Linked DNA regions of Cricetulus griseus. The protein of the gene in region 3 interacts with the protein of the main gene of each other region in a pairwise test. Links are inferred from orthologs where the notes say so. Each region holds a gene or a part of one and is shown on either strand. Other genes may lie near its edges.

The links.
Region 1: the proteins of Rint1 (region 3) and Fam81b interact in binary tests that used the Homo sapiens proteins (3 or more experiments, as listed by UniProt). The two-hybrid records come from large-scale screens. The link is inferred for Cricetulus griseus from reciprocal best matches to the Homo sapiens genes RINT1 and FAM81B.
Region 2: the proteins of Rint1 (region 3) and Sgf29 interact in binary tests that used the Homo sapiens proteins (3 or more experiments, as listed by UniProt). The two-hybrid records come from large-scale screens. The link is inferred for Cricetulus griseus from reciprocal best matches to the Homo sapiens genes RINT1 and SGF29.

Annotation. Positions count from the first base shown.
Region 1 is NC_048595.1:297,337,947-297,340,296, reverse strand, and holds the end of Fam81b (protein FAM81B), read left to right. Parts: intron 1-1,396; coding exon 1,397-1,530; 3' UTR 1,531-1,788; downstream 1,789-2,350.
Region 2 is NC_048596.1:74,077,092-74,080,724, forward strand, and holds the end of Sgf29 (SAGA-associated factor 29), read right to left. Parts: intron 2,406-3,633; coding exon 2,341-2,405; intron 1,545-2,340; coding exon 1,415-1,544; intron 1,348-1,414; coding exon 1,201-1,347; intron 1,013-1,200; coding exon 977-1,012; intron 894-976; coding exon 731-893; intron 467-730; coding exon 350-466; 3' UTR 257-349; downstream 1-256. UniProt on the Homo sapiens protein: Chromatin reader component of some histone acetyltransferase (HAT) SAGA-type complexes like the TFTC-HAT, ATAC or STAGA complexes.
Region 3 is NW_023276806.1:170,823,768-170,827,998, forward strand, and holds the start of Rint1 (RAD50-interacting protein 1), read right to left. Parts: upstream 2,827-4,231; 5' UTR 2,746-2,826; coding exon 2,668-2,745; intron 2,472-2,667; coding exon 2,426-2,471; intron 1-2,425. UniProt on the Homo sapiens protein: Involved in regulation of membrane traffic between the Golgi and the endoplasmic reticulum (ER); the function is proposed to depend on its association in the NRZ complex which is believed to play a role in SNARE assembly at the ER.

The DNA of each region.
Region 1 (2,350 bases), on a different chromosome or scaffold from region 3:
AGGTTCTTTTATTAAAGAAAGCTCTAATCTGGGTTGTGTCCTCCAAGTCTTAGAAAATACACATGTAAATCACACAAAATTTTGGCCCCACAGAGGCACACTGCAGTTGAGTTAAGAGGGTGTTATAGCCTTCATCCACCTAGTGTTCCTGGCATGTAAGCAGAACTTAATGTCTAGAAAGCTAACCCTCACATGCCCTACCTCCTTCCACCAAGTTAAAATAGTGACTTACATGGCCAAGAGCCATATCCGAAACTCCATGGACTCTTCTGACAAGGGCCCTCTTTGCTTTGTTTTCAGAGGTTTAATTATGCTTATTGTTGCTTAGGGTGAGTAGAAGAGAATTTTTCAATCTTTGTCCTTTTTTGTTTAGTAAGTGGGAATTCTAGCTAAGAGAGAGTATAAATGAGTGGTTTACTCCTTTGTGCTTTTAATAAAAAGGTGTTGAGAAGCAAATATGTGGATGACCTCAGGGAGTAGGGAATGGGCTGTCCTCTAAGCTTGTGGTCGGACAAGCCTATGGCCCTGAGGGACAGACATGAGTAAAACAGATAGAGAGCACTGGGTGAGAAGAGGATAGGAAGAGGGTAGGAAGAAGGTGAGAAGAGCGTAGGAAGAGGGTGGGAAGAGGGTTGGAAAAGGGCAGCTGGCCCCACTTTTTAGTTCCTTCAAGCAGGGTACTTGTCAAGGGAGTAACAGGAATATTTTTAAAGCCCACAAATCTTTTTTGACGTCTACAGAGAGAAGAGAATATTTTAAGTATCTCCTGAAAGATAGAATTGTTAGATAGTATGTGATGATGGAGGTTCTGTCTCACTAGTCCCACAGCTGTTTAGCCCCAAATAAACACACAGAGACTTACATTAATTATAAACTGTTTGGCCAATGGCTTAGGATTCTTACTGGTTAGCTCTCTCTTAATTATTAACCCATAACTATTAATCTATTTATTTCTACATGGCCTTATCTTACCGGAGAATGCCAGGAACTGTTACTCCTTCAACAGCTACATGGTATCTCCATGGCAGCTCACTCTCTGAGTCCTCTCCCCAGAATTCACTTTGTTGGATAGCCCTGCCTATACTCCTGCCTGGCTACTGATCAATCAGTGTTTTATTCATCAACCAATAAGAGAAACATATATACAGAAGGACATCCCTCATCAAATATGTTTACAGAGAGGGGAAAGAAAACAGTTTTCACAATAAATCCAGATTCCAGTTAAGCTGCTATGAACTAATTCATCTTTGTATATTTCTATATTTGTCTTAATAGAATTTAATGTGCTTTGAATTAAATGATGATCAATTATGGAAGGACTGCTGAAGAACAATTTTGGAGATGGGAGAGATCCAATGCATTGTTTTAGTGTATCTATTCTCTTTTCCTCTTCTAGGATTTAAGTCAATTCATGACTCCCTCAGCTCTCTCCAACAAATACAGAAAACAAAAATGGATTTAGAGAAATATAAAGTACAGAAAGATCTAAAGAAATTACAGCGGAAAATAGTGGAACTCCAGGAAGTATAACTTTGAAGTTACTTTCTTTCCCACTAGCTAGTGGGATAAGCTGTGAAGAAGAAAATTAACATCTTTAGGATGCTGACTACTTCTAGTGTTTCCTATCATCTCTAAAGGAAATTGGTTTACCAGGAAAAAAATACATTAAAGCAAAAGGCTTTGTGATTCCTTTATTTATTAACGAAAAATTAAGAAATTTCTTTACATGCACATTTTGTTAAATTTTTACTTGCCCACAAATAAGGGAAGAACAATCTACATTGTGAATGCAAATGAATAAAATAAATTCAGGCATTCCAGTGATGAACTGGTGACTCTGCCTGAAAATAACAGCCATGATGTGGCTACAATTTGTTATTAACATGAATTTTGTTCATTATTGCAAAAACACATCTCCTTTTCAAAAGAAACATCACTGTTTTTAGCACTAGCATTTGAGATCAAAATAGTTTACACATTTATGATCAAAATACTTCATAAACTATATGGGAAACATCTGTGGGATGTATACACCAGAAGGCTAATTTACAATTTCTGACTCAGAAAATTATCTTTTCTAACAAAAGCAATGTCGATAGCAAATCTAATTTATGCATATTTAAAATACATTATCATTGTACTTAATATGTATTAGAATTGTAAGTACTGTCCCTTGCAAAACAAAATATACCAGCTTCCACTAAAAATACTCCACAATATTTAGCCTACATGCTAAACTCAAAAGTATCTCAAAACCAATGATTTCTTATCAACTCAAAACACAGTTTAAATATTGAGCAGTTGTGTTTGCATTTCTGTTCCTGTGATAAAGCACCCTAACAAAAAGCAA
Region 2 (3,633 bases), on a different chromosome or scaffold from region 3:
GAGCTCAGAGAATGAACAGGACTTGGGTAGTATCTGAATGAAGAGGGTTTTACCAACACGTGTCAGGAAAGCAATTGATCCGTGCACTGAAAAGGAACCCAAGCATGCAACAACAGAAGACATAAACTGTATTTTACCTGAAAGAATAAATGTCACTGGGAGCTGACTGGGCCTTCTCCCTCCTGCGGCCACCAATCCCATGTGCCTGATGGAGGAGGGCAGGGAGGTCTGAAGTAGTGAGGCCCAGGAGACATGGTGAGAGGGAAGAGTATTTATTTTATTACAGGAACTCGTTTGTTGCCTTCTCCCATGAGGTCGGCAGTGGCAGACTCAAGCCAGCCAGCCAGCTTCACTTTTTCTTGGGCTCCTTACAAGCCACCACGTACCTCTGGGCCACATTGAGAGGAGGGGAGTAGCCGTCTGCATAGGAAGTGTCTTCAAACAGGACTGAGTAGTCATCCTGAGGCTGTAGAGCACACACAGGAAGGGCTGGTCAAGATGCTTCTAGGCCAGGGCAGCCCCTCCTTGCCCAGAGCCCCAGATGCATCTCCCTGCCTGCCTCTCCTACTTTCTTCTCTGCTCTCAAGTCAAGGGGTCTGGTGCTACTGGGAAAGCCTATGTTTAGGAGATGAAGGACAACAAGAAGGCAGCAAGCAGGCAAGCTGAAGAATGATGGGGACCAACCCTTAAGGTTCTGGTGTCATCAAAGGCCTTTCATGTGGCTCCTTACCCGCTGTGGGGGTGTGTGGATCAGGGCACGGTAGAAGCAGGTGGTCTGGGGATATAGGGCCAGCACCAGCTGCTCCTTCTGAAACAAGGCCTCAGGGTCTGTCTCAGGGTTAGCTTTCCACTGGGGCAGTGGGATGATGCGCCGCCGACTCAGGGTGTGTCTCCTGGGGGAACAATACAGGCCGTGACCAGGAGGCTTCTCCCAGAAGCTTGGTGACTCTCCACTGCTCCCCACCGGGACACTCACTCTTTGCCTTCTTCATCAATGTCATCTACCTCATACCTGTGGGCAAACAAAAGGGAAACAGTTCTGGGACAAAGAGCGGTTTGCATCCAAGAGTAAGGCTGAGAGAGGGTGAAAAGGGGATGGAGAAGCTCGAGAGAGCACCACCCAGCACCCTTTGGGGGGAGTTTTCCTCCCATGCTGCAGAAGCTGGAGTGGTGAGAATGCAAGGTCAGGCACACACTCACTTGTTGGTAGCATGGCTGTAACTGACTACTTCAGCTAGGATCCACTGCTCATCCCCATCCACAGCCTTCACTCTAGCAGCCACCTTGTCTCCAGGTTTGGCCACATAGTCCCCTGAGGCTGGAATGGCTCCACAGAGGGGTGGGGGCCTGTGAGAGAAAGCCCGTTAGTCTGGCTCCCTGTCACCAGCCCTCTCTGGCTAGTTCCTGCCCTCACTTGTCACCAGGCTTCCCGATCCAGAGGGGCAGGGTCATGGCTGACTGCTGCAGCAGTGTCATCAGCACGCCTCTGCGCATGGTCTTCCGTGGGGGCTCCGAGTCATTGTAGAGACCTGCGATCTTGGCCGCTGTGGGAAGCAAGTGAACCCCTGAGGCCAAGTGGATGGTGTCTGACCCAGTCACACCCCAGCAACTGCTCTGAGTTGGAGCACTTTATACCAGGATCCCAAAACCATCCACACCCCTTCTTAAGGTCAGGAACTGACAGCCTAACTCAAGTGGGTGAGATGTCAGGACAGTGGCCACCATCGTGGAGTGGAACTAAAAAGGAGGGTTTCCAGGATATAGGTTATATTATGTCTCCTGACCAGGATGCTGGATATATAAATGTGCTGGGTCAATGAAAATTCCTGGAATGTATCTTCTTTCTACTAGTGTATGTAATTTCAACAAAAGTTGCACAAATTATCTAGTGTGGATCCTTGGTCTCATCAGCCATGGCTCATCACACTCTTCAACTAAAAACAAAAATGGTACCATGATGGTGATATGGGGTAAAGAGTTGCATCTGGGACAAGACAGAAGTCAGGAAGCCAAGGCAATGGCACCTGAGGAACCTACAAGGTAGGGGGCTAAGCCAGCTTACATGTGGCCACCAAAGCATGCCACAGAGGGAGCAGCGGTAGGAAGGAGAGAGATGACCAGCCCTGGCTAGAGTGAGCAGGGCAGTGTGAGTGGTGGGACAAAATTTCCTGGGTCTAGGCAAGAACTAAGCAAACTCTCTGCCTCTGAGTCTGTTTCAGACAGCTCTGTTGGGTGACCCCACCAACCTATGTCCCATATTCCCCTGCCAAGGCTATGACTGCTTCCCCCCAGCCCCCACCTGGCCTGGTCAAGAAATACCCTGCATTTTCTCCCACTCACCTATCCGCCTCTCTTCCAGCAGAGACTTGATCTCAGCTATCTTATCCAATGCTTTTCGGAGGATGCTAGGCAAAGAAGGGAGAAAAGAGTGCTGGGTGAGGCACTCAGCGTATGCTTCTTGGCGATCTGGACTCCCCAGACCAAGTCTATGCTGAAAACTACAGATCCTGTTGCGTGTGGTGGCTGACACCTGTCATCCTACCGTGTAGGAGGCTGTAGTAGTCCTGGAGTGAGTTTGATGCCATCTTAGCTACACAAAGAGCTCCGGGTTTGCCTGGGCTAGAGTGAGACCTTGCTTCAAACAAAGAAGGAGAGGCTATAGAGATGGCCCAGTGAATTAAGTGCCTGTTGTGCAAGCCTGAGCATCTGAGTTAGATTCCCAAAACCCATCTGAGAGCCAGACATGGTGGTGTGTGCCTGCAATCCCAGCACTGCATTACTGTGGAGACAGCTGGGTCTTTGGAGTTCACTGGCCAAACAGCCTAGCCAAATCAATCAGTTCCAGGTTCAGTGAGAAACTCCGTCTCAAAAACTAAGGTGGACAATAATCAAGGAAGACATCCAGTATCAACCACTGCCTTATACATGCATTCTCACCCATGGGCATGCACACTCACATGCCTGAGGACCTACACAAATATAGGTACATACTTCATAAACATATATATACCACATGTATACACAAGATAGTAATAAAAACAATGAAAAAAATAAATGAAACTATAGCCCCTAAATAGAAATAGGCACTACCCCTGATATCTCAGTTAACAGGTCTTTCTATGCCACAATCCTATGACAGTGGCCCCACAGGATTTTACTGCCTCATGGCACCACTGCCAGCTTAATGTCACAGTGAAACATATCATATTCTCTGCACTGACAGTCACATATATGCAGGGCATATACAATCATATACACTCAATCACACTTGATTATAGTAATGACCATGCCACTGATTTAGAAGTTTACTAAGGCTGGACAGATGGCTCAGCAGTTAAGAGAACTGGCTACTCTTCTTAGGGTCCTGAGTTCAGTTCCCAGCACCCACATGGTGGCTTACAACCACCTAGAATGGGATCTGATGCCCTCTCCTGGCATGCAGGCATATAAACAGATAGAGCACACATATACATAAAATGCATAAATACATAAATAAATTAATTAATAAAATTTAGCTGGGTAGTGGTGGTGCATGCCTTCAATAACAGCACTTGGAGGGCAGAGGCAGGTTTATCTCTGAGTTTGAGGCCAGATTGGTTTACAGAGCAAGTTCCAGGACAGTCAAGTCTACAC
Region 3 (4,231 bases):
ATGCACCACCATACCTGGTTTTAATTTTGGTTTCCTAAGAGAGGATCTATGGGCTGGAAATAGCTCTTGTTGCTTTTGTAGAAGACCAGGATTTGATTTCCAGCACCCACCTGACAGCTTAGAACCATCTCAACTCCAGTTCCCAGGGATCTGAAGCCCTCTTCTGGCCTCCTCTGGCACCAGACATATATATGGAACTCAGACATACATGCAAGCAAAACGTCATAAAAATAAAAAAAGTAAATTTAAAAAAGAGGAGAGTCTAGGCTTAATTATACAGCACATAACTAAAAAATAAAGATCTAAAAAAACAAAAGATAGGCTCTAAATATATGACCTAAACTGGTCTCCAAATCATGGCAATCCTTCTGCCTCAACCTCCTAAGGGCTGGGATTTCAGACATGAGCCACCACACCTGGCTTGGGAAGTTTTTATGTCTCTCCCTTTTAATCTTATATATAAAGAACATTCAGCATTGCACAGCAGTTGACTGAGCCCCTGAATACGCAAGGACAAAGTCCTTAATGAAGTGGTTTGTGCCTAACATTCTAAAATGACATATCAGTTGATGTCAAAAAGAGTCAAAGCATCTTAGTGTGACAAAGGTAGAGAAGGAAAGGGTTGTTTGTGTTTCTGTGGTGATATTTTGTTTATGATCTAACAAATAAAGCTTGCGTGAAGATCAGGGGGCAAAGCTAGCCACACTAGCTAGCCATAGAGGCCAGGCAGTGGTGGCACACACCTTTAATCCCAGCACTAGAGAGGAATATAATACAGGAGGAGACAGGAGCTCATCAGTCTGAGGTTTGGAGACCAGTGCAGTCAGAGGAGCAGTGCAGACTGAAGATGCAGTCTGAGGACACGATCACCCTTTTCCACCTGAGCACTGGTAGAGGTGAGAACTCTCTAGTGGCTAGCCAGTTTGCTTTTCTGATCTTCAGTTTTAACCCCTACATCTGTCCTTGGGTTTTTATTATTCCTGCTACATGTTTTTGGTTTGGTTTTGTTTTGAACTTTTGAAGATTTTATTTTAATGTGTATAGGTGTTTTGTCTTCATGTATGTCTGTGTGCCACATCCATTCAATCTACAGAGGCCACAGACCCAGAAAATGGCATTGAATGTCCTAGAACTATAGTTACAAGTGGTGGTTAGCCACCCCATGGGTGTTGAAAATTAAACCCAGTTCCTCTGGAAGAGCATCAAATACTCTTAACAGCTAAGCCCATTTTTTGTTTGTTTGGTGGTGGTGCTTGAGTCCAAACCCCCAGATGCTAAAGTGCTAGGCAAGAGCTCTGCCACTGTAATAAATATCTCCCAGATCATTTCTGCTTTTTTAAAAAATGATTTGTTCATTTATGTGCACGTGTGTTTGCTTCCATGAGTTTACCTGTACCAAGTGTAAGCAAGAGCCCCAAGAGGTGAGAACACGGCATTTATAATCCTGAAACTAGAGTACTGAGCCTTCACCTGGGTTCTGGACCAAAGGTCCTCTGTAAAAGTAGCAAGCACTCTTAAGCACCAAGCAATCTTTCCAGATCCAAGAAGAATTAAGGGGGGAGGGGTTTATCAGTAGCTAATAGTAAGAGCAAGCCTTATTGCTAGGAGCCACGTGGTGACATGAGCCCCCTTTCTCTTAGTGCTAATTTCTATCAGTCTGCTTGTCCAGGTCATTGAACTGAACTCTAACACGCAAAAAAGCCATTACTTGCTCTTCTCCTTCCTCTAAAAAAGAGGGAATCCTTCAAAAGCTCCTGAAGGGATTAGACATACTGCATCTGGGAGATAGAGGCAGAAGGATCAGTAGTTCAAGGTCATCCTTAGTCACATAGTAGTCGGTGGTCAACCTGGGCTACATTTGAGTTTGTTTCAAAAAAAAAAAAAAAAAACACAAAATAACAAAAACAGCCCCTGAAGAGTACTGGATTTCTAATAACCTGCTATGCTTATCTTATTACAGTTGAATGACAAATATCCACATTTCTGGAATATTTTCCTGTCCTAGGTAGGAAATGGAGGCACCAGATCTTTCCCTGTCCCCTATCCAGACCAAGACCCAAGGCCTAAGTTGTGTTCTACCTGCAGCAAATTTTAATTACAAATTTACTAAAGGTAAAAGTATAAGTGAGCAGTTATCTAACCTCCTCCTTGAACCCAGCAACACTCCCTCCTGATAACAAGCTGCTGTTTCATTAAAATAACAGGCCCCAGTGAAGTCACACCAGTCAGGGCACTAGGTAGAGTCTCAAAGTTCTCTTCTGTATTTTACAGTCTTAAAGAGACAGAAGTCCTCGTGCAACTAGTATTTATTGCTATTTAAACAACCTACAGGGGAAAAAAATAACTCGTTTAAAAGGTAGCAGGCCGCGCCACCTCTTTTGCAGAGCCTGGAAGAGTGTGCTGGGAGGGTGTGGAGGCGGCTTACTTTTCTCCTCCGCGTTCTTCACTCTGTCACCGCCTTCGGGGCAGCACTGGCAGAAAAACACGAGCGGCAAACAAGTTAGACTCCAGGAAGTGTGGTTCGCACCGGCCTCCCAAGGCCCTGCTGTCGGTGGGGGCCTCGGCCTCTCCCGGGGGCTGCGACCTGCACTGCCGGGACCCTCCCCGGGACAGCGGCGGCTCTGCACCGCGGCGGCCTCCCTCCCCCGGGCTTCCGGGGACGCTCACCGGGGCCGCCGGCTCCTGGCCCGCTTCGCCAGCTGCGAGCATCCTGCCTCGATTCCATCCGCCGCCCGCCCGGCTCATACAGCCCAGCCAGGGCAGCCGCGAGCAAAGTAAGCAGTGCCGCCACCTCGACTTCCGCTCGCCCTCTCGCTGGTTCCGTTCTCGCAGGCTAGAGAGACAGACCCACCTGCGTCGCCGCTGTCCTGTTCCACGGCGCCACCTGCTGCTTGGCTGTCAGATCGGCTGCGCAGGAAACCCAAGTGGCTCTCCTACTTCCCAGCCTGGTATGGGCTAGCATCCTCCCCTGTGTCAGAGCTCCTTCACTTTGCAGTTAATAAAAACAGAATTCGGCCCTGGCCGAGTGACTCACACTGGTAATCCCACCATTTGGGAGGTGAGGGAAGGCAGGAGGATCGAGAGTTCAAAGTCAGCTCCAGCTATTTACTGAGCTCAAGGCGCCCTTGAGTACACTGGAGAGATGGCTCAGAGGTTAAAAGCACTGGCTGCTCTTCCAAAGATCCTGAGTTCAATTCCCAGCAACCACATGGTGGCTCACAACCATCTGGAATCAGATCTGGTGCCCTCTCTGGCCTTCAGGGACATATGCAGACAGAACACTGCACACATAATAAATAAATAAATTTAAAAAAGAAAGAAAGAAAGAAAAGAAAATACTTTGGCTTTGGCCCTCTCATGGGAGGCAAGTCTCGTGATTCAGAAGCAGAGGCAGGAGGATTGCCACTAGTTTCTGTGTCAGCTAGGGGGCAACATGGAGAATGCCTATCTCAACATGACTTAGCCTGTACAAGAACTTGCCACCAAGACACCTGTGTTCCATATGGTGGAAGAAGAGAAGCAACTCCTGCAAGTTGTCCTCCGACCTCCACGTACCTCTTCGATCGCCCCACCAATAAATAAAAGTTTAAAAATTCTAAGTAATAATAGAGCTCTCTCCATGTCATAGATCTTATATGAAACTGCAAATTTATATAAATGTTTAGATACTATCCTGATGTTCTGAAAATTAGCATGGTGGCCAGAGCCAGAGCAGGTTATTTGGTTTGGCATGGATTTACTAATGAATGCCAGCACCAGATCTTTATTTAATGCTGGTCAGATTGCATAGAGATGACCTTCATCTTTTCCAACTGGAGAGCCCAGATCTATTTGTAAGGGGGTTGAAGCATCCTGGAAGCCTGATAGAAGAAAAGCACTCAAAATCTATCATGCATTTTGCCTGGCAGAGCCCCCCAACCCTCTACCATTTTCCGGATAGGTAGAGCACATCTGACAACCTCACAAGCAAATCCTGGAAGGCAAAGCAAATGGGGCCCCAGCAGGAAAAAAATCTTTATAGAAAACAGAAGCTACTCAGTGAGAAGAAAACTCACTGTCATGTAGACATATGCAGACAAAACACCTATATACATAAAATGAAAATAAAAATTAGGAGCCAGGAGTGGTGGTGCGTGCCTCTTAGCCCAAAACTCAGAAGGCAAGAATCTTTGTAAGTTCAAGGACAGCCAGAGTCACATGAGACTATGTCTCAACAAATAAATATTAGGGT